Linked DNA regions of Ovis aries. The protein of the gene in region 4 interacts with the protein of the main gene of each other region in a pairwise test. Links are inferred from orthologs where the notes say so. Each region holds a gene or a part of one and is shown on either strand. Other genes may lie near its edges.

Region 1 (4,836 bases), on a different chromosome or scaffold from region 4:
TGATGCCACTGAGTAGGCTGTCTTCATTCCTAAATTGGGTGATTGTCTTTCCATAAGTATTGCTCCTAGAGTCGAAAGAGGGGCACACAGCAGGGAAATTTATGCAGAAATGACATCATATGTCACAGGGAGCAGAGTAAGGCAGTCGGGCTACTTCAGCTCTGGCTTTCCCTCTGGCCTTGTAGTTGAGCTCGGTGGAAGCCGGAGGAGCCACAGCCTTCATCTACGGCAACTTCAGCGTTCCTGTGGTCAAGGTAAGTGTGGGTCTGATGCCAACGGGTGATTTTTAGGATTGTTCAAACTAACACCTCAACTTTCGTGCTGTCTGTGCTTGCACGCCTGTCCTGGGAGGGGCCAAAAGAGAGGTCTTTCTTGATTTCCAGAATCAAAGATAGTTCCTCAGTTTTCTTGACTACTGCATTTACTTGTATCTCTATTTATTTAAATTTTATTTACACTTGTATTACAAGTAGATGCCTTCCTATTACAGTAGAACTCCTCAAAGGTGAGAAATCTTTTATTCCTCTTCAGAATCTCAGCAACAACTGGTCCCTTCAATCATTCTTTCAGTAAATACTGGGGACTAGAGGCACTCAGAGTACAGAGGAAAGGTCATAGTCCTTGCCTCCAGGAGCTCACCGAGAGGTTAACAGGCAGTAATGGAATATACTGCAAGAAGAGCTAAAAAGTCAAGCAAGGCATTAAAGGAGGGCCAATGTGGTAAGAGGTTTACTTAATGAATGAGTATCTCCCCCAAATTTCAGAGCAATCAATCAGTCAATCAGGGATGACAGCCCTTAATTACTTCAGGAATGAAATGAAGACAAATAATTGAGATCGTGCCTTCTAGCACTTAGCACAGTGCCCAGCACATCCTAAGCATTCAATAAGTAAATGCCGGGTGTTTAGCAAAATTCAGCGGTTTGGCCAGGGATAAAGTAAGTGTATAGGAGAGAAATCTGAGTATAAGAGGTAGAAAGAATAGAAGATTTGGAGTCAGAACACTTGGGTTTGAGTTCTGACATTGATCCTCCTTAGTTACATTATTTAAAGCCCCTAAGCCTCAACTTCCTTTCTGCTAAGGTGGAAATGACAATGATGCCTGCTTCCTGGGGGTGTTATTAGGAAGTGCCTAAGAAAGGCTAAGCATCAGAATGAAGTTCTTAGTTGTGTGAGGAATATTTTGCTCCCCCTTGTGCTTTTTGTTGAGTGCCTGGCCTCAGTGATCCCGTGACACCCTGTGCTCCCCTTTCCCCTGACACCTGTCAGTCTCCTCCTGGTTTGTTTTTATGTCTCTCTCCCACGAGACTATGAGCTCCCTGAGAGCAGAATTGATCATGATTTGTCTCTGCATCCACAGGGTCTGGAGAAGGGCAGGGCCCTGTCAGTAAGGCATCAGTGAATGAGTCAATGGCAACTTGTCTACCATTTTGTGCCATTTTATGTATTCCTTGCCCCCATCTGCATGGACGGTTTTCTTGGTTAATGACATGTATGCATTTGTCCTCAGTCAGGTGCTTCCCTAGCACTGAGACTCTGGGCTGACCTTGCCTGGGGCGGGGTCTGCTTCTTTCAGAATGCAGCTCTATTTTGGTGGAACCTGCACAGGAGTGGTGAAGGGGATGGTGACACACTTCATGCTGCCTGCCCTGTCCTGGTAGGAGATAAATGGGGTAAGGCCTGCCTTTCTGGGCATGGGAAAGGGGTGAGGGGTTCAGGGGAAAGTGAAATCGGGGTTGGATAGAACATAACATAGCCTGTCATTCCAAAAGCTTCGTAACAGGGACTTCCCTGGTGGCCCAGTGGTTAAAACTCTGAGCTTCCATTGCAGGGGCCCTGGATTTGATCCCTGGTCTGGGAACTAAGATCCCACATACTGTGTGGCAAAAAGAAATAAAGAAGAAAATTTCTTGAACTGAATAAAAATGAAAAAACAACAAATTAACTTTAAAAAAATTAAATGGAAAATAGCAAAATTAGGGGAAAAAAAGCTTCATAGCAATGTCACATTATACTGAGGTGATCAGATTCTGGGCTAGTGGCCACCAGTACCTTAGGAACCCATAAAGGGGAGGCTTCTGTCCTATAGCCAGTGTCAGTAAAAGTTGACTGGCCTGACCAGACAGGCCTGATTCCTCAGGACAGCTAAAGAAGAATCAGTGCAAAGTCCCACTCCTCTGTTCCAAGGAGAAAACCATCAGGTGCTTTCCCATAAGGAGAGGTCAAAGAAAGATAAGTAAGGGACACACGCACATCATACATGTGTCCACGAGAACTTAGCTCTTAAGACAGAAACAGTAGAAGAGGGACTCTTGTGCTGAGGTGGACCTGACCAGGGAGGGTCCATGCCTTTTCTCTCACTACCCTGAAATGGTACCCTGTGGGAGGAGGGGCTTTCAGGAGCTACATGAAGGGGAAATGACCACAGTACCCATGGGTTTGAAAATTAAGTCTCTAGTAGATAGGACCTGTGGGGATTTTTTCCAGGGACCACTGCCCTTCTTGCTCTTTATTGCTACTGGAAGCAACATCTTGTAGTCTGTGACAGGCCTGGGACCAAGGTGAGGCAAGCGAGTCCCCAGGGGTATGGAATTTCATGGCCCTGTGAGTATCGCCTCTGTCTGATCTGCTGAGCCTGCTCCTCTGCCTCCCCGTTCTCCCTCAGTGGCCAACAAGTGGATACACGAGTACGGACAGGAATTCCGCAGACCCTGCAGCTCAAGACCTGAAGACTAAAGTGTTGGCAGAGAGGAGCTGGAGGAGGCCTTCGGCTTTCCAAAGAAGCCGGAAGTAAAAAGCTAGGGTAAGAGAGTAGAAAGGGGAGCAAGCTTCTGGAGGAGGCCCTTGTCAGCACTGTCTGTTCCTTGCAAATGGGAGACAAGGAAGTGGTCTCTAGCAGGGACATTGTTTCTCCTCAAGCCATGACTCACAGCAGAATGACCAAGACAAAGGAGGGGGCCCGAAGGCTGGAGAGAGAAGTTTCTGGAGCTCAGACTCTCTTTTGGAAACAGGGCCTATCAACAGTCTCCAGGGTTTGGTCGGTGGGGCCTTCGCCACTTGAGCCTTGACCACAGGGGCCCAGAGTGGCAGTGAGGCCCCTGCAGCCGACGCCTGACTCCCACGTGCCCTTCTGCCCACTGACTCCTGCTGAAGGCTGAGCAGGGGGTGTCTCTGTATCAGGAGTGTACCTCATGTGATGACTTTTTCATAGCAGACAGTAACTTTTTTAAAAAATATGATTTTTAAATACAGCCATTAAAATGTTTTAATAGTCATAAAAAGTGTTTACAGATCATTTTTCACAACCATGAACATTCTTATGTTCTGAAAACAGCAGAGCAGAATGTTTTATTTATGTATAATCTCATCTTGGCTCATCTCCCACCACTCCCCACTCAGTGCATTCCAGATGCATTCTATTTCTTAAAACCGACATTGGTCCCACTCTTCAGGTCTTTGCACTCACTGCTGCCACCGGGGCTGAGCCCTCCTCATCATTCCACTCTTGAATCAGTGTCGCTTCAGAGAGAACTTCTTTGACACCCATCCTTCTAGCCATTTTGTTCACATAGGCCAACTTTATTTTCTTCCTAACACTTTTCTCAAAGTTACTTTATTCATTTAATTGTGGTCAGTTGCCTGCTCTGCATGGTGAGTGCTTTAAGATCCCTCTCTGCTTTGTAAATGCCTCACTCCATTTTTCAGTATTTGTTTATTTGCCTAGCTGCTTGCACTCCTTATACCTCTTGGTATACCCCCCAGAAAAAGGTCTGTTTCAAATAAGTAGGCATTCAGCAAATATTTTTGGATAAATGAGTAAGAAGGCCTCCTTTGAGCTATGCTTTGGAGGACGGGTAGGATTCTTATAGGCAGAGTCTAATGAGGAGCAGCACTTCCCAGCAGGACTGGCATGAGCTAAGGCTGCAGTGATGAGTGACTGATATTTGAGCACTTGTGCAAAATGAACATTCTAGGCAACGTGGCTATTTCCTCAACAGGAGATGAGGGTGTGTGTTGTGCTCACAGAGAAGCCACACAAGTAAAAGGCTAGATGCTTAGAGGCTGTGCTGCCTCTGCCCCCTCCCTGTACCACACACACCAGGATTTCTGCCTCCCAGAGCTCCGTGGGCCCCGAGGAAAAGGTCCTGGTGTGCTGATATCCGGGATCCAGCACAGCCTCTGTGAGCACCTGTCACCAGTAGTTCTGCTGAGTGCATCAGGACTCTGGACGCCCTCTTACTAAATTACTGTCACATAAGTGAGCAAAAACACTTTCCCCCTCCCCTTCTGAATTCTTAGGAGCTCTGAGTTCTGAAACCTCTATAGTAAAAGACATTAACAGGAGGAACATAAAGAAGTTTATTAACATGTATATATCATGTATACATGGGAGATACCCAAGGGAAAATGAGTAATTTCCTGAGGTGGCTTAGAACTCAGAATGAAGTACTGTCTTAAGAGAGAAAGGAAAGAGGGGAAGTAAGCCGCTTAGATTTTTAGGAACAATGAATAGTCCTTAGAAAGGGCCCACAGATGGGAGATACGATAGTGATTGTCTGGGCGTGGTGTCCACTTGTGGTCTCGTCTCCTGTGCAGTTTTCCTTGGTTGGTAAAACTCTCGAGGGAATTTCAGACAACTGAGTTCCTTTTGGAGCATCTGTCTTCAGGCTGGTGAGGGGAGTTTAGAGAAAAGGGTGCAGCTGTGGGGTCCCAACAATGCTTAGTATGTAGGTAGCTATTTCTAAATAGGACTGACCATGGCTTGGTGCATAGCTTGTTTATAATTTTGCTTTTCTTTCTTGCACTGTTCTTCGGCCATTTTTCTAACAGCTTTCT
Region 2 (4,784 bases), on a different chromosome or scaffold from region 4:
TAGTCATTGTAGTTGGTATGTAGTGGTATCACATTGTAGCTTTTATTTGCATTTCCCTGGTGAGTTGAATATCTCTTTATGTGCTTATTGGCTATTTGCATATCTTTTTTGTGAAGTGCCTGTTCCAATCTTTTGGCCATTTAAAAGGCTGCATTATCTTATTATTGAATTATCAGAGTTAATTTTAAATTCTCTATACATGTTCTTTGTCAGGTTGCATTGCGATTATTCCTCTTTGTGGCAAAAAATCCTTTCTACCCTAAATAAATAAAAACACATTCACGCAAAAACCTGTACACAACTATTTATAGCTATTCTATTGATGCTTACCAATAACTGCAAACAATCCAAATAGCCTCCAGTGGGTCAATGAATAAACAAGATCTAGTGCATCCTTGCAGTACACACTTTAGCAATGGAATGGAACAACTAACTCACTGTTACTTGCAACAACTTGTATGGAGCTTAAGGGCATTATTCTGAGTGAAAAAAGACAGTCTCAAAGGTTACACGCTATATGATTCCATCATAGTGTGTGTTAGTCGCTCAGTCATATCCAACTCTGCAACCCTATGGACTGTAGCCTGCCAGGCTCCTCTGTCCATGGGATTCTCCAGGCAAGAGTACTAGAGTGGGTAGCCATTCCCTTCTCCAGTAGATCTTCCCGACCCAGGGATCGAACGTGGGTCTCCTGCACTGACATCCTCAAAAACACTGAACTGTAGTGATGGCAAACAGATCAGTGGTTGGCAGGGTTTAGGGATAAGAGGGGACTACCACATAGCTCAATCAGTAAAGAATCTGCCTGCAATGCAGGAGACCTGGGTTTGATGCCTGGGTTGGGAAGATCCCCAGGAGAAGGGAATGGCAACCCACTCCAGTATTCTTGCCTAAAAAATTCCATGGACAGAGGAGCCTGGTGGGCTACAGTCCATGGGGTCACAAGAGTCGGACATAACCTAGCGACTAAAACACCACCAGAGATCAGAGTGGGGGTAGCAGGAAGGAGTTTTGAGGGTGATGGAAATGTTCTGTATCCTGATTGTGGTAGTAGTTACATGAATCTATATATTAAAATCCATACATTGTATACCAAAAGGAAGTTAATTTTGCTGTATGTTAATTAAGATAATGGAATAAACAAAAAGCATATCAACATTGGTTTTTGTTTTTAAGATTTTTTTATGTGGACCATTTTTAAAATCTTTATTGAATTTGTTATTGTTTTTGAATTGCTTCTGTTTTATATTTTCATTTTTTGGCCTCCAGACATATGGGATGTTAGCTCCCCCACCAAAGATTGAACCAGGGATGAAGTCCACAACCCCTGCATTGGAAGGCAAAGTCTTAACCACTGGACCACCAGGGAAGTCCCTGAACATTGGTTTTTGAATGGAGAAAGATGTGACAGAAAATACATATCTCTTTAATCCTGGCTACTTTGTTGGGGGAAGGAGCAAAAATGATCCACTTTTTCAGTGTGTATTTTTATAATGTTTCATTTATTTCAATTAGTATACGGTGATTTAGAAATTTGAAAAAATCTATTAAAATGGAAAACATTAGGAAAATATTTTTAAAGATGAAAAAGGGTATTTTTGCTTTGTCAAGTACCTGATGATATGGTAGAGAATAAGAATAATGTGTGTCCATTCCAGTGGAACTCAGCCTGGTAGCGTCCAGTCCTCCCATCTTACAAATGGCTCATCTGCAAAATTATGACTGTTATTGGAACTGGACTAATGGAAGCTTTTATAAGAATACATACTTTGTGAGGTGTTCATTTTTTTTTTTTTTAATGCCATGCTGTGTGGCTTGCAGAATCTCAGTTCCTTGACCAGGGATTGAACCTAGGCCACAGCATTGAAAGCCCTGAATCCTAACCACTAGGCCTCCAGGGAACTCCCAAGAAAAAATACCTTAATACTGCTTGAAACAATGCCTCACACAAATCATAACTGTAATGTTAGCTGCTATGAATATATCATTTACAAATTGGAAGAATAATTGCCATCACTTATAGGGGGATGATTTTTAAAGTTCTTGTCTTGCAGTGGGGGATCAGTCACTGTTAATTTTGTTAGCCTTTGGAACCTGGTTTCTGGGATGTGGCGGGGAAGGCAAGGCTGTCCCTGGTGTGGTTTTCTGGGTCTCCCCACTTATCTCTTCTCTTGGCTTTGCTATCTTCCTAATTTCAGGGAAACCTCTCCCTCCTTCCCCTCCCCTGGTTGACATATCACCCTCCCTCAGGACCGAAATGCAGGGCGTTTCCCTCTTTGGTTGACACCGAACCCCTTGTCTACATCTAGCTTGGCACAGAGGGACAGCCAGAGCCTGAAAAGTGTGGCTGAGACCTACACAGCACCGTTGGACTTGAAGGTGAGCCAGCCGGGGAGAAATGTGATCTCAGGGCAGTTCAGGGCCAGAAAGGTGGTGCAGGGGAAGTGACCCTGCAGGGCACCAGGGATCCTCGGGGGGGGGGGGGGGGGGGGGGGGGAGTGAGGAGATTGGGAGAAAAGGATACTTAAATTTCATCTCTTTCTCTAACCATGCAGATGGCCCTTATTCAGACCAATAAGGATCTCATTTCCAAAGGAATAAAGGAATTCAACATCCTGCTAAATCAGCAGGTAAGCCTGGTGCTGTTTCAGAGGACAGGCCTGAAGTGTTGGGAGGTGGGCGAGGACAGAAAAAGGAGAATAACTTGGAGCGGGGAGGGTAATGGTGGATTAGACGGGAACCATGAGAGACAGGGAATACAAATCAGAGAAAAAAGGAGGTCAGAGTTTGTGGTTATTCCTGAGTCACATGTCTGAGCCGGGTCTCCTGTGCCAAATTCTGATCGCCCCCCCACCCCCACCCCACCCTATGTCCCCTCCAGGTCTTCAGTGATCCTGCCATCTCCGAAGAAGCCATGGTGACTGTGGTGAACGACTGGGTGAGCTTCTACATCAACTATTACAAGAAGCAGCTGTCGGGGGAGCAACAGGAGCAGGACAGGGTTCTGCAGGAGTTTCGGCAAGAGCTCGATACCCTGTCTGCCTCTTTCCTGGAGAAATATAGGAACTTCCTGAAGTCCTCGTGAGCAGCCCCTCACACGCTGCCTTTCTCCTAGCCCAGAGACCCAGGCTGCAAGTCTAAGAAACCCTTAAACGCTGCCTCTGTGTTCTAGTCCTCGGGCTCTGCTCCTTCATGGTGTTGCTGCACCCTGACACCTCAATAAAGACCAGTTCTGGTTGTAGTGGTCTTCCTGGCTTGTGGGCTCTTCTTTGGTTCTGATCCCTGAATCATGAAGACAGTTGGTCCCTTTTCCCTCAGCCCTGCTTCCTAAATATGGTCTTGAAGATCAAACTTCTTAGAGCAGAGGTTTGCAGCCTTAAGTAAGCACTGGGAAGTACTAAAATAGCCTGAAGGAGGGGCCAGCTGACAGAGCGTAACAGTAAGTGCTGAGGGACAGGGAAGGGGACAAAAAGAAGGAGACAGAGGCTCACCAGAAAGCATGGTCCTGTGACATGCTGTCTAGAAGAAAGTTTTTGGAACCTCCCAGTCTCGTTTATCTTACACTGCAGCATGTGACAAGAGAGTCAAACTATGACAAAATACGAGACAGCCTCACTGTAGAGGGTTGGGGAATGAAATGTACTAATGTATCAGACTGTGGAAATGACGGAATCTATAAGACTAAGCCACAGATAACTGCATACAAGCACTGTGCCCTAGTGCTGGTTAATAATTCTGATACTGTTGCACATGCTCATTGGAAATGAACGATAGGCGTACATACATGGTGGATAATGGGAGTTGAGTTTCTCAATGTCAGAGTGGGAATTTAAGGATAAGCAAGGTTGGGGGGTGGTTAGAATAATCTACGTGGTAATGGATTGGAGTTAGAAATATCAGCACAGACAGATGGTGTGATGATGGCATATAGCCGGTGGGTTAAGTTGCTCTTTTCTCTCCCTGTCCCCTTCCTCCTTTTTTAAAAAAGGTTTATTTATTTGGCTGCGCCAGGTCTAAGTTGCAGCATGCAAACTCTTAGTTGTGGCATGTAGGATCTATTTCCCTGACCAGAGATCAAACCCAGTCCACCTGCATAGGGAGCTCGGAGTCTCAGCCACTGGACCACCAGGGAAGTCCCTCCTCTCCCTTTTCAAACAACTAAGTAGACATCCATAAGGGAACAAAAGTGCCTCTGCACACTCCATCAAGGAGCCCAGGAGGTTTCTAACCCACCTGTGTATCTGAAAATTAACAAATAGGACCTCAGTAAGGGCTGCAGATCCAAGGGAGATACAAATCTCCTCTATCTCCACTGGTCACAAGGGGGCAGGGGGTGGAAGGGTGAAGCCTGGAGATGGCAAACTGGGAAGAGACCAAAAGACTCTTCTGGAGAGACTTTTGTGGAAGTCCAGACTGCCTGGAGGGGCCGTCAGCATGTCCTTAGATCAAGGTAAGGATGAGGCTGGAGGCGAGAGGAAGGAACTCGCCAAGGCGGCCGGTCTCCCCAGGGCGACTCCACCAGGGTTGAGCTTTTCACAGCAGCAGGGTTGCCCCCCTCAGGCAAAGGAAGTGGAAAGCCTTGACCCCTCTCACAGAGTGGGTGGCAAGCGCGAGGGGTGAGTGACTGCCTCCCATTCCTAGCTGCGCACCTTCCAACTGGAGAAACCCATTTCTCTCCAGCAGTACCCAGGTTTCTGAGGAGGGATCTCCATAACTAGGGGGAGAGAGGGGAACATGGGAGGAAACATAAGAACCCGGGCTTTAATGGTTCGTTTCCTGCTGTC
Region 3 (5,714 bases), on a different chromosome or scaffold from region 4:
ATGAAGCCTTCCTTTCAGGTGGTTATAACTGTAGTACAGGCATGCATTATCTCCTTTAAAATGTGTACAGGTGAGCAATACTCTCTCTTGCCAGCCCCTCCCCTGCTGTCCCTGCAGTTTTTAATTGCAAGCTTCACTCTGGGAGGGGCCTTCAATTTCCAGAGGCGTTAGTGATTTGATGACACAGCCATTATGCTGCTGGAGTCCAGTGTAGCTTGAGTTCTGGGTACCAGCAGAACTGCTGGAAACCTCTGTTAGGAATTTTGCCTTGAGCTAAAGGATTTAGCAAACATAATGCATCAAAAGTAACTTTAAAAAAATAGGGAGAAAAAAAGCAGTTAACGGCATTGTTAGATTCTCTGAAGTTAAATGTTTACCATTCCAAATTATCCTCTGTGAATAGAAAGGGCTATTCGCATTTTCTTGTCTTTTGACTTAAAGGCATAGCAAATTCAGTTCATAGAGTTATCAGCATTTAACATTTATTGGTGCTTGTGGAGTGCCTTAAGGAAGTTTAAAGATTGTAGAGGCTAACATCATTTATTGAACAAGGGAAAAAATGATTTTCAAAGAGAGAGGGTTAAATTGGAAAAAAAATAAAATGTATTGTAAAAAAACAAAGTAAGTATACAAAATGAGTGATCAAAGTAAAATACACCTTCACAAAAATTTCTCAAGCTATCTAAGGGTCCTGCACTCTGCTGTGAAGCCCATATTTATATTGGGGTGGCTGGTCTTGATCCCTACACTCATTCAGAGCACAGAAATGGGGCCTTATGTTTAGAGTCTAGGTAATTTTACGCCTTGATCTGTGTGGTGAAAACTAAGGCCCAAGGCCATCAAGCTCAAATCCACAGTACTAAGTCAGTCTATTACAGAAGATTCTTGGCCTGTGTCAGTTCTAGGACCCAAGGGCTATTTGTGGGACCACCAACGCTGCAGTTATTAGCAAAATTCCCACCAGTTTAAAATGTATCAGATTAAATGTCAGAAGGTTTATGATAATCTTGAAGTTTGGGAACAATTTGCTGGTGATGGTTGCTGCACCCTCATTTCAGCACCCTGCAGCTAGCCCAGATTTCAAGTTGTGTGTCTTAAGGATTGCATACTGGCAGTATCCCATCCCCTTCCTCTTCCCGCTTTCCCAGTCCAGTCCTCTAACTATCACTTCCCCATGGTCCATTAGTACACTTCACCTCAGCTCAACTTCAGAGCTACAAAAGGAGAGTAAGGTATACCATTAACTGGGAGAAATAGGGTGGGAGTGGTGGGCAGTGAGGTAATCCAGTACTTAAAATAGATTGTAGCATGAATTTCACCACAATCTCAGATAACCGTAATATTTTTGTTCCAGGGTGTGGGATGTAAATACAGGTGAAATGCTGAACACATTGATTCACCATTGTGAAGCAGTTCTGCACTTGCGTTTCAATAATGGCATGATGGTGACCTGCTCCAAAGACCGTTCCATTGCAGTATGGGATATGGCCTCCCCAACTGACATCACCCTCCGCAGGGTACTTGTCGGACACCGAGCTGCAGTCAATGTTGTAGACTTTGATGATAAGTACATCGTTTCTGCATCTGGGGATAGGACTATAAAGGTAATGAGGCATTTTTCAGTAAGTCCCCACCTTAGAGTAGGGGAGTTCATATGGATATCTTCTCAAGGACAATTTTATATTTAACCCTCACTGTAGAATACTTAATATTTATTTAAATCAGATACTAGTTTATGTAATGAATCAGATAGATCATGTGACAATTTGGGTTAGGTTTTTATTCCTGTAAATAATGGTGAGTATGAAAAAGGCAGGGGTAATTTTAGGTTCAAGATTTGTCTACAAGGCGAGATTGACCCCATAAGAGCACATCAACCTGAGGATTTCTCATATGATAGCAACCAGCTACAAATTAGCCCTATATTACTGTGAATTAAACTTGTCATCTGGGATTTGACTTGGATTGGTTTAAGACATTGAATTTCCCCTGCTAGTTCAGTCCCATTTTCTGCTTCCCTAAAACTGCAGTTGCCATAGATTTTACTAATAAAAGCACCAAATCAACTGCCAAATGCCATTTCTGTTTCAGGTGTGGAACACAAGTACTTGTGAATTTGTACGGACCTTAAATGGACACAAACGCGGAATTGCCTGTTTGCAGTACAGAGACAGGCTGGTCGTGAGTGGCTCATCTGACAACACAATCAGGTGAGCAGCAGGTGCCCTTGCCCAGAAGGGATTGCTATTATCCTGCCATTTATTGTTTGTGCACAGACCAAAGGAATTGTCAACTGTGTTCTGTTTATAATAAAACATTTTTCAGTTTTCTGTGGCTTCTTACAGGTTAAAAGTTTGCCCCAAGCAGAGAGACGGCACAGCAAAGCCTTTTGTTGATGTGTTTCCTTCCTGTAATAGTTTTATCACCAGATAGACCTATTTAAAAGGAACTTCTTGAATGAGGAAGTGAGCAAGAGAAATAAAAATGGAGGTTGAAGGCCCTTCTCTAAATTTCTCCTGTCTGCAGTTGATAAGTGCTAATAAACAGCTAAAGGGCTTTTCTCTTTGCCAGTGTTTTTAAAAAAAGAAAATAGATTTGTTCCCCTACTAGAAGTTGTACAATTTTGGGTTTTTTAGCATTACATAATGGGCCAGGGACCTACCAGTCTTCGAAATTATGAACAACTTATGAAGAATCCTCAAATTGAAGTACTTTTCGGTGTTTTCCCTTCATGAAAATGAATGACACACATATGCATAGAATTTGAAAGATTTATCAACCCTCTCCTCTCCTTCAAAGAAGTGCTAAGGGAATGAAAAAGCCATTGAAAAAACGACAGACAGACATTGTTATATCTAAGGAAATTAGCATTCCTAGAAATCATGTGGATTGGTCAGAAGGCATACATAATTTAAATTGGTATATAAAAATTTTTGAGAACTTACTTTGCATTTCTATTATATGAGAAAAACTGTCCTGAACAGTGGGGTGAAAGCTGAGGGTGTCCTCAGTGATAGAGGTACACATATTTTGTGAGAGCAGGATGTCACCGTTCCTGTATCTCATTCTTATTTAATTGTGGTTTCCAGAAATATTATGTTTCTTGGCTTGGCCCTTTCCTTCTTAGGCAACTGTGTACATTAAATTCATCTTTTATATTCCTTGGTGACCCTGATTATAGGTTTATATGAAGCTTGATGCTTTAAAAATATTTACAACATATTTGAACTTAAATCGTACATTTTTCTGCTTCTATGGCAGAAAGTAAATAAATTACACTGAAAGTAATATATTTGTATATGAGTGTTGATTGGTTTTTATATTTTGGATATTTTAAAAGACATACGATGTATGTTGTTATAACATTCCAAGCTTAGAAAAGAATGCATGGAAATTCACTCCACTCAATGTTCTCTTTCAGATTATGGGACATAGAATGTGGTGCATGCTTACGAGTGTTAGAAGGCCATGAGGAATTGGTGCGCTGTATTCGATTTGATAACAAGAGGATAGTCAGTGGAGCCTATGATGGGTGAGCGTGCTGACAGGGTTTTTAAAAGTTCTCTTAATCCCCCCTGCCTTAGAATGTTAAACATAGCCTTTCCTTGTCTCCAAAAGATTATAGATATCACAGAAAGAATCTGATACAGTATTCTTGTGTCTAATCCATGTATTCACATCTCCTTTGTTCACTCTTTTCCAAATAATCTTCGCAGTCATTTAATTATACTTGTTTGCTCATGATTTTCATTAGTATTTTGGATTTTTTTTCATATATTTATTTTGCCCTATAAAGCAGAGAACTGGATAAACCCTAGTATATCAGGATATGGATATAAAATAGTGACTTGTTAATAAAATTGAAATGTTGGAGGATAGTATCTTTGGAGGGGACTTAGTATACTGCTGGCATTTCAGTCACAGTGCATTAAATAATCTTTACTTTCCTTCAGTCTACTTTCCAGTGGTTACAGACTCCGTTCATGTTGTGGATGGATCCCACATCCAGCGACGCTAATGAGCACATAGTATATTCTTACAAGAGAGAACTCATTTATGAAATGCTGTCTGTCATTTCTTCTCATCAGGGTGCCTGATGTGGAGGACAGGAAGGCCACAGTTCAAATATTGGCAGCTTTTTAAAAATATCAGAAACTAACTTACAACTTTATCTTAGTTTACGAGCTGGCTATACTTGATTCATTAAGACGACTCAAGCAGCAGTAAGTGTTAACAGACCCATTTCCTCTGCTTTGAGTCAGCCGTCACTGTCAGACCCTTGGGAAGTTGTTGGGGGTATGACTACATGTTTCAGCTAAGTCCAAGGCTGTATTTTTCTTACTGCCCTGGTTTTGATCTGTACCCTTTTCTTGGGTTTTGTCTGTTACTTACCTTGAGGATACAGGACATAAAATCGATTCATAGAAGGGCTAAACTTTTCTTATTTAAATATTGCTTATATCAACTCAGAGTCTTACATGGACCCCAGTCCTCTGATATGTGTGACCTGGGCCACTGTCAGAATTGACCAGAAAAAAAATGCCTCAGAGTTATAGGTTTCTAGCTCTAAGTGATCTCATCTACTATTAAGAGTTCTAATATATAAGAACGCCTTTTGGCCCCAAAGTATGGTGTGACTTCACTGTTCACTCTCTTCAGTTTGTTTAAAGCTAACCTATTTCTTGTTTTTAGGTTAATCACATACATTTTCCCCTTTTAAGACTTAATAACCTCTACCCAAGAATGAATGCATGAACTGAGTCTCCAAATCAAAAACGTTTTTATATATCCTGTGAGCTGCATTTATCGTATCAACTATCTTCACCATATATATTTATTGCCATGACTTCTTGCTATTTTTCTTGTGTCCCTTTAATTTTGCTCTTTATTAAGATTTTGGTCCCCTTTTTGATCTTTAGAAAAATTAAAGTGTGGGATCTTGTAGCTGCCTTGGACCCTCGTGCACCTGCAGGAACTCTTTGTCTACGGACCCTTGTGGTAAGAGCCTTATTGTTTAGAGGGGTTTGAGGAGCAGGAAGGAGAAGAAATTAACATAGATGTGCTGTGGAATACAGATCTGGATTTGATAGTTAGAACCTCACAAAGTCTACTACTAAGTGGAAAGGCAACCAGTACTTGACAATAAAATATGTTTATATAGCTGCCTTTCATCCAAAAGTGCTTTAGAGACTGTGTATGGAGAAGAATGTGGCAGCTGTTCAACAGCTGCACAGCAACTCTACACAACAGTTTAGTACAGGAAGTGAATAAGAATTCTGTATCCACTAGAAACAGTAGGGGGTACTTGGGGAGAGAGAACATAATGACTCAAATTGGAACCTGTCCAGAATCTGAGGACCTGCACACCTGTGCCTGCAAAAAGTGCCACGGGAGGCTGCATGAACCCCCTGATCCGCCCCTGAGTTCACTTCCCATTTAAGGAATGATGCCTCCAGCAATTTGAATCCTGTCTCTTTTATTCTCTTACACCCCCTGGCCCAAACATCTTGACATTTGGAGAAAGACATGACTTAGAAGGAAGAATGTCACCTCGAAAGCACCAAGTTCTTTTTCGTGGTGTTAGCCAAAGGCCCAGATCAGAAAATGGCCCCAAGGTTTGAAAGCTGCTTCCATGACAGAAAGAGTAGGTGGGGTATCATAGAGGACAGAATCTTCTGCACAACTCAGGAAAAGATGAGAGCAAGGATTTGAAG
Region 4 (6,275 bases):
CTATCAGTGCTAACTCAGAGATATGGATTTTTATACTCTGGGTTACAACCAAACACTCAGTTACCCATTTTATTGCTCTAATTGTTGCAGCTTTGGCCATTGGGAGCTTCAAGCTCCTGAGGCCCTGTGACACACCCTTATCCTTTTGAGTTTGGACCACTTCCTAACTCTGGCACCACAGGATGCTCCAAGCTCACTTTTTTCCCTGTCCCAGCCCCAAAATCAGCCATTTCTCCAAGGAAATAATACATTTTTAAAGACAAATCCTCCAATTGTCTTGTCAGTAGTCCAAATACATTGCACTGAATTTGAACAGGTGATGAAAGAGTTAATTTGCTCAATGAAATGTTAAAACATACTTCAATTTTTATAGCTGGAGTGTGACAAGTCTTTTTAAAGTATATTAGGAGCCTCAAAACATTGGAGGGAACTGGCCCTTTCTGCATTTCCAGGAGGCCCTGTGGAACTGAACCTCTGCAGCCCACTGCCAAGGCTTCGCAGCAGCCTGCCCACCCTTCCTAGAGCATTGATCTAGCTCCTGTGTCATTCCCAGACGGAGCTGCCCAGTGAGCTTCCAAGAAAAAAAAAATCATATTTGGTCCAGCCTCTCTTCTTCATTTCAGGTGGGCTCAGTTGCTCAGTCGTGTCCAACTCCTCATGACCTCATGGACTGTAGCCCACCAGGCCCCTCTGTCCATGGGATTTCCCAGGAAAGAATACTGGAGTGGGTTGCCATTTCCTCCTTCAGGGGATCTTCCCAAACCAGGGATCCAAACCTCAGACTCCTGTGTCTCCCACATTGCAGGCAGGTTCTTTACCCGCTGAGCCATTGTGGGGGAAAGTTTCCAAAGGCCAAGGTAATTCCTGGGACCTTTCCCTCTCCAGCCTCTCCTTGTCCCCCACCCATGGGTGACCAGTCCTGAACCTCTGCAGACCCCACCCAGGCTGGCCAGGTGGCAGGAGAGCAAGAAGGCTCCAGGAAGGAAGTTGGCAAGATAGGTGTGCAAAGAATGGTTGGGGGAGGGAGAAAGGCTGGGCACATTAGATCCAGAGGGCTCCTGGGGATTGAGGCCATTCCAGCTACAACTGGAGCAGGGTTTCCCCAGGAGCAGTCCTGGGTTCTGCAGAACAGAGTCAGCTTCTTGGGAAAGAGCTGCCTTCATGAGCCGGAAGAGAGCGAGACTGCGGCTCACTCTGGGAGGACACAGAGCTGCGTGACTCATCGCCGCCCAGTACTGCCGGCTCCCTCTGGCACAGTGCTGGGGAGCACGGGGCCCAGGAGTACAGGCGGAGTCCCATCCCAGTCCTGGCCCAGAAGGCGGTCCCTGGCCAGCGATTAGAATCCAGCACGTAGGGACAGAGGCAGGATGCTGTGGGGGCACCGAGGAGGAAGCAACTCAGCACCAAAGGAGTCTGGGCAGGCCTCACAGAGGAGGTGACATCATCAAAAAGAGGAATAGAATTGGTCAGGCAGCAGCAGGGAGGGAAGAAGGGGAGGGCACTCCTGGCCAAGATAGGAGATGCAAAGGCACGGAAGTGTCTGCACAGCGTTGGCACAGTGCCCACCACCCAGTGAGTACTCCATAAATGCCAGGCATTATCGCTGTGGTTGGTTTATCTTCATTATGGTTATTAACCTGGACTCATTACTTAATATTTTTACTACCATAAAGGAGTTACTACAATGAATAAATGTCTAACTATACTGCACTTTTCACTGAACTTTTCTCAACTATAAAAGGGGCTGTTGTGAAGATTAGGTCTAAGGCACACACAGCACTGGGCAGGAGTGGTGGTGAGCAACATCTGAGGCGGCTTCATTTTCTCCCTCTCTTGGAGGCCAGCCCCTGGGGTTGCTGTGCCCGGGAGGCACAGAAGAAGAGGTATTTGGGGGGGGGTTTAAAGGTGACCAGTCAACAAAGCAGGGACTTGGCTAGGTGGAGTCATTGGGGGTTTCAAAAGCGACAAAGGTGTCACCTGGAGCCCTGGAATAGGAGCTCCTGGCCCTGGATGCAAGTCTTTTCAGCTGGAACAAGGCAGGTTGTACCTGCCTTTCTATTCTGACAAGGTCCTGATTTCAGAAGAAAACTGTACCTGGCCCTGGGTGGGGCCCCAGTTCTGTGTGTACCTGTTCCAGTCACGCTGTACCTGTTGAGTGTTCCTGATTCTCAATGTGAAAAGTTACTTGCCTGAGTGTACCTGTCTTGATAACTATGGCTCTGCCTCCAACCGTGTGTGAACCAAACTGTATACTCTGTTCACTCGATCGTCCCGGACTGTTCCTTCTGCACACTTAGGTCTGAACGTACGCGGACCTGTACACTTGGTCCGCCCGTGACTGACTCGATGTGCGTACCTGCTTTGGCCCGGGCTTACCTCACGCCTTGCGAGCCGTGCACTCCTGCCCTGCAGATCTCCCCACCGCCAGGGCCCAGAGGTTCAGAGGAAGGGGCTGCGGCCCACGCCCCCGCCCCCATCCCAGGCCGGGCCGGCGGCTCTGGGGCAGCGGGGGCGGGGCCGGAGGCCAGGGCGGGGCGGGGCGGAGCGGCGCGGGGGCGGAGCAGGAAGGGGCGGTGGCCGCTCCGCCCCTCGCCGCCCGAGCCGGCTCTCGGCTCTCGCCTCCCCTGCCCGGCTTCCGCGTCACGGTCCCGGGCGCCACCTGCCCGCCCACTCGCCCCGTATAAAGTCGCTGGCGGCCTGGCCCCCGGGACTCGGCCCCATGGAGACGCCGCCGGCCGCGGCTGGCGCACGGCAGGGTGAGGCGCTCGCGGCTGGGAGGGGGAGCAGGCCTCCGGGGCCGGGGGAGGAGGGGGTGGGAAGGGCTCGAGCTGAGACCGACCGGAGCAGGAGGGACGTGGGGCCAGTCCACTCCGGCCTTGCCGATCCCCGGGGCCTCCTCCAACTTTGCCCAAGTCGGAGGATCCTGGGAGACCGAGGTCCGGAGTGGGAATCGGGCGAGAGCGAGGTTCTGGGCCGCGTCACCGAGCCCGGAGGCCAACCAGAGTTTCCCAGCAACTTTTCTCGCTGGTGGGTCGCCCTGGAAACTTCCCCTCCCCCGGCCCGGGAGTCCGGCCACGGGCCCCGCGCCTCCCGGCCTGGGCTTCGAGCAGTGGGCAGACGGACGCGAGGAGGCGATGGCTTCAACGGGGAAGCCCCCGCCACCCCCTTCCAGCGCACTTCCAACCCAGCGGGTTTCCACATGAGAGCCCCGCCCCGTTTGCCGTGGGGGCGCGGTCAGGTCCTCGGAGGCCTCCCACGATTTCTGGGTCCCCTGGTTGGCGGGTGTCGGGGGTGGGTGCTGGGGATGGGATGGGAGGAGGGGTAAGACTGCCCAAGTTCAAATCCTTGCGTCACCAGCTAACAGCTGGATGACCTTGAGTACGTTCTTAATGTCTGTAGCTGAACTTTCCTCCTTCATAAGATGGGAGTGATGCTCTCTAGCTGGGAAGGCTTTTGAGAGGATAATATAGGTAAAAGGCCAAGATGGCTTTGCATACTGCCACCCATATTGTTGGATGGAGAGGGAGGGACAGGAAAGGAGGTGAGCAGGAAATCCAGTCCCATCCCTAACCCTCCTGGTTGTCCTACAGGAGCTGTGAAAAGTGCCTTCCACCAATCTGAGCTGTGAGTGGCCAGTGAAGAGAGGCCCAGGCAGGAAGCCAGCCCCACCATGAGCCTGTGGGAACTTGAAGACCGCCGCAGCTGCCAGGGGACCCCCAGGCCGGCCCAGGAGCCCACGGCCGAGGAGGCAACGACTGCAGAGCTGCAGATGAAGGTTGACTTCTTCCGGAAGCTGGGCTACTCATCTGCTGAGATCCACAGTGTCCTGCAGAAGCTGGGCGTCCAGGCAGACACCAACACAGTGCTGGGGGAGCTGGTGAAACATGGGTCAGCGGCCGAGCGGGAGCGCCAGGCATCGCCGGATCCCTGCCCTCAGCTGCCTCTGGTCCCTCGGGGTGGGGGCACCCCCAAGGCTCCCACCGTGGAGACTTCTCCACCCGAGGAAGACAAGGAGGGCAGTGACCTGAGACCCATAGTCATCGATGGGAGCAACGTGGCCATGAGGTACATGTCACTTCTGTGTCCAAGACCGTGGCCTCTGGCCGGGATTGGTGGCCATGTCTCTACATCTCTTATAGAGGGGACTTCAGGAAGGAGTTTGGTCTCTTCTCTAGACTGGTCTAGAGGAAGGGAAAGCCCTTTATGAAGGTCCTACTGTGTGCCAGGAGTCTCCCTTAATCCTCACAGCTTCTTGGAAGTGGGTTTTAGGGCTGTTTGAGGGGGCTTAAAGAGTTACTCTGGGGCCCACTTCTCATAAGTGCTGTAGCAAGGATTCGAACTCAGATCCTTCTGACTCCAGAGCTGCCTTATGCTCTCCATGAGGGATCAGACTGTGGGCTCCAGCTTATTCACATAGGAGCCGCCTTCCTCCTCTATGAGATGGGGCTCACCACCCTTCAGGTGGTGCTTGTGAGGAATGAATGCCTGGAACCTGGAGAGAAGGGCTTGTTCATCATTGGTAGTTGTTATCGTTACTGTTATTCAGGGTCTGGGACTGCTGGGGCCTTGTTGTCTCAGACCTGGGCTCGCGTGGAAGCCGGCCCAGCTACTAAGGCCTTTGCAGCTGTGACCAAGAGTAACCTTGAGGATCTGGCGACATCAGGGGTGTGGTCGGGTGGCTTGATGCTTTGGCTCCAGGGGCTTGATGACTTGGGTCGCCTCTGCTTCTGCTGGAGCCACCTAGGCTAGACTGGGCTCTCAGGGTCCCCCAGGGACCAGAGCTAGGCCTGGGCCCCAGTAGCCATCCCCACCTCTTCCCCTATGCAGGCTCTCATGGGGGGGCGGGGGAGTTGGGGGGGGGTGCTGCTGCTGACTCCAGAGAACCCAGACCTCCCTTCCATTCATCCCTGCCCTCTGGCCTCACTTTCTCCCTGTCCTTTCAAGGCAGGCTGGTGAGTCAGGGCTGGGTGTCTAGTTCATAAGGAAAAGTTCCTGCAGGTGCGGATGGGGAGACCCCAGACACGGGTGTGGAGTGGGAAGGACTCCTTCCCCCGCCTCCCTGAGGGCTCTCCCAGGTGGGCTTCATGAGGCCTCTGTCCTCTTCCTGCCCCCCATCTGCCCCTCCCATACCTGGCCGAGCTCAGCTGTCTGCCTGGGCCCGGCCTAGCTCAGTAGATATGCAGGTGGCCCTCCTCCAGCCACTTCTGGGTCTGTTTTCCCATCTCTGAAATGGTTTGAGCCTAGGTGGAAACTGAGGCAAGCTGGCATCCACAAGCCCACAGCAGCTGGTCACCCTACGTGCTTTGAGAGTTGGGGGACCCCTCTCGGGCTGCAGTAGCAGTTGACTGGGTCAGGAGTTGGGATCCCTTAGCGACTCCCTCCTCTGGGGGGCGTGGGCCGGAAGGCTGAGCCCTGGGGCAGCCATGTGCAGTGTGTGTTTGTATCCTGGCCGGAGGAGGAGGAGCCGGGCAGGGGGAGGGGCAGGTGGTGGAAGGCCTGGCCAGAGGCCGAGCCGCTCGGGGTTTTCTGAGCTGGGGCAGTAGCAAAAGGGGAATTCCAGCCTCTAGCTTCCTGTCTCAGCTGCTGCTGGGTTCCTACCCTCCTGCCCCCTCCCGCCCCAGGGCAGGCGGGCCAGCCCCTACCATATGCAAATCGTGGGGAAATTCACCTCTTGTTTCCTTCTAAGGGAATTTTTCTCCACTTGCTGGGCCCAGCCCAGGCAGATCTTTTCACCTGGGTAGCCCTGCCCTCTACCCAGGGTGGGAGTCTGGAGTCTCCAGCAGAAGCACACGTCGTCTAGTGTCTCCTTAGGCTGAGGGGCCCTGACTTTCTGGGCCAGCAGGATTGCGGTGAGGGTGAGAGGATGTCTGGTTCTCCTCTGCCAGCAGAGCTTCCTCCCAGGCAGTGAGAAGGACTGAGGTTAGCTGCAGACAGGCGCTCCTGGCTTGGGAGGGCAGGATCTGGGCTTGACTCGAGGGACCGCCACACGTGCTCGACTTCTGCCAAGAGTAAGGCTCTGTTCGACTGCTTAAGGAATATCCTGGGGACTGGGACGACTGAGAGCAGACTTGTCCCCTGCTAAGGTTTCTGATTCCCATAAGCAGTGCTCTGTCCCGGAAGCCCCAGTGGACCCCGAAGTCCCAGGGCTTGTGGGTGCTGGCCTGGGAGGGGGCGTGTGCAGGTACACACATGTGCGCAGAAGGCGGCAGGAGGATGGGGAGCTGTCAGGACACCCCACCTGGGGCCCTGACAGAGGAGCAGGAGTTTGCCAGATG

Evidence for each region.
Region 1: the proteins of ZC3H12A (region 4) and P4HA3 interact in binary tests that used the Homo sapiens proteins (3 or more experiments, as listed by UniProt). The two-hybrid records come from large-scale screens. The link is inferred for Ovis aries from reciprocal best matches to the Homo sapiens genes ZC3H12A and P4HA3.
Region 2: the proteins of ZC3H12A (region 4) and AHSP interact in binary tests that used the Homo sapiens proteins (3 or more experiments, as listed by UniProt). The two-hybrid records come from large-scale screens. The link is inferred for Ovis aries from reciprocal best matches to the Homo sapiens genes ZC3H12A and AHSP.
Region 3: the proteins of ZC3H12A (region 4) and BTRC interact in binary tests that used the Homo sapiens proteins (3 or more experiments, as listed by UniProt). The link is inferred for Ovis aries from reciprocal best matches to the Homo sapiens genes ZC3H12A and BTRC.

What each region holds. Positions count from the first base shown.
Region 1 is NC_056068.1:52,346,876-52,351,711, reverse strand, and holds the end of P4HA3 (prolyl 4-hydroxylase subunit alpha-3), read left to right. Parts: intron 1-185; coding exon 186-254; intron 255-1,576; coding exon 1,577-1,673; intron 1,674-2,665; coding exon 2,666-2,736; coding exon of another isoform or gene 2,737-2,794; 3' UTR 2,795-3,281; downstream 3,282-4,836. UniProt on the Homo sapiens protein: Catalyzes the post-translational formation of 4-hydroxyproline in -Xaa-Pro-Gly- sequences in collagens and other proteins.
Region 2 is NC_056077.1:28,060,356-28,065,139, forward strand, and holds AHSP (alpha-hemoglobin-stabilizing protein), read left to right. Parts: upstream 1-2,315; 5' UTR 2,316-2,379; intron 2,380-2,555; coding exon 2,556-2,630; intron 2,631-2,881; coding exon 2,882-3,085; 3' UTR 3,086-3,247; downstream 3,248-4,784. UniProt on the Homo sapiens protein: Acts as a chaperone to prevent the harmful aggregation of alpha-hemoglobin during normal erythroid cell development. Specifically protects free alpha-hemoglobin from precipitation.
Region 3 is NC_056075.1:22,066,630-22,072,343, forward strand, and holds part of BTRC (F-box/WD repeat-containing protein 1A), read left to right. Parts: intron 1-1,354; coding exon 1,355-1,604; intron 1,605-2,091; coding exon 2,092-2,210; intron 2,211-3,421; coding exon 3,422-3,532; intron 3,533-4,919; coding exon 4,920-4,998; intron 4,999-5,714. UniProt on the Homo sapiens protein: Substrate recognition component of a SCF (SKP1-CUL1-F-box protein) E3 ubiquitin-protein ligase complex which mediates the ubiquitination and subsequent proteasomal degradation of target proteins. Recognizes and binds to phosphorylated target proteins.
Region 4 is NC_056054.1:12,299,600-12,305,874, forward strand, and holds the start of ZC3H12A (endoribonuclease ZC3H12A), read left to right. Parts: upstream 1-2,708; 5' UTR 2,709-2,756; intron 2,757-3,590; 5' UTR 3,591-3,670; coding exon 3,671-4,065; intron 4,066-6,275. UniProt on the Homo sapiens protein: Endoribonuclease involved in various biological functions such as cellular inflammatory response and immune homeostasis, glial differentiation of neuroprogenitor cells, cell death of cardiomyocytes, adipogenesis and angiogenesis.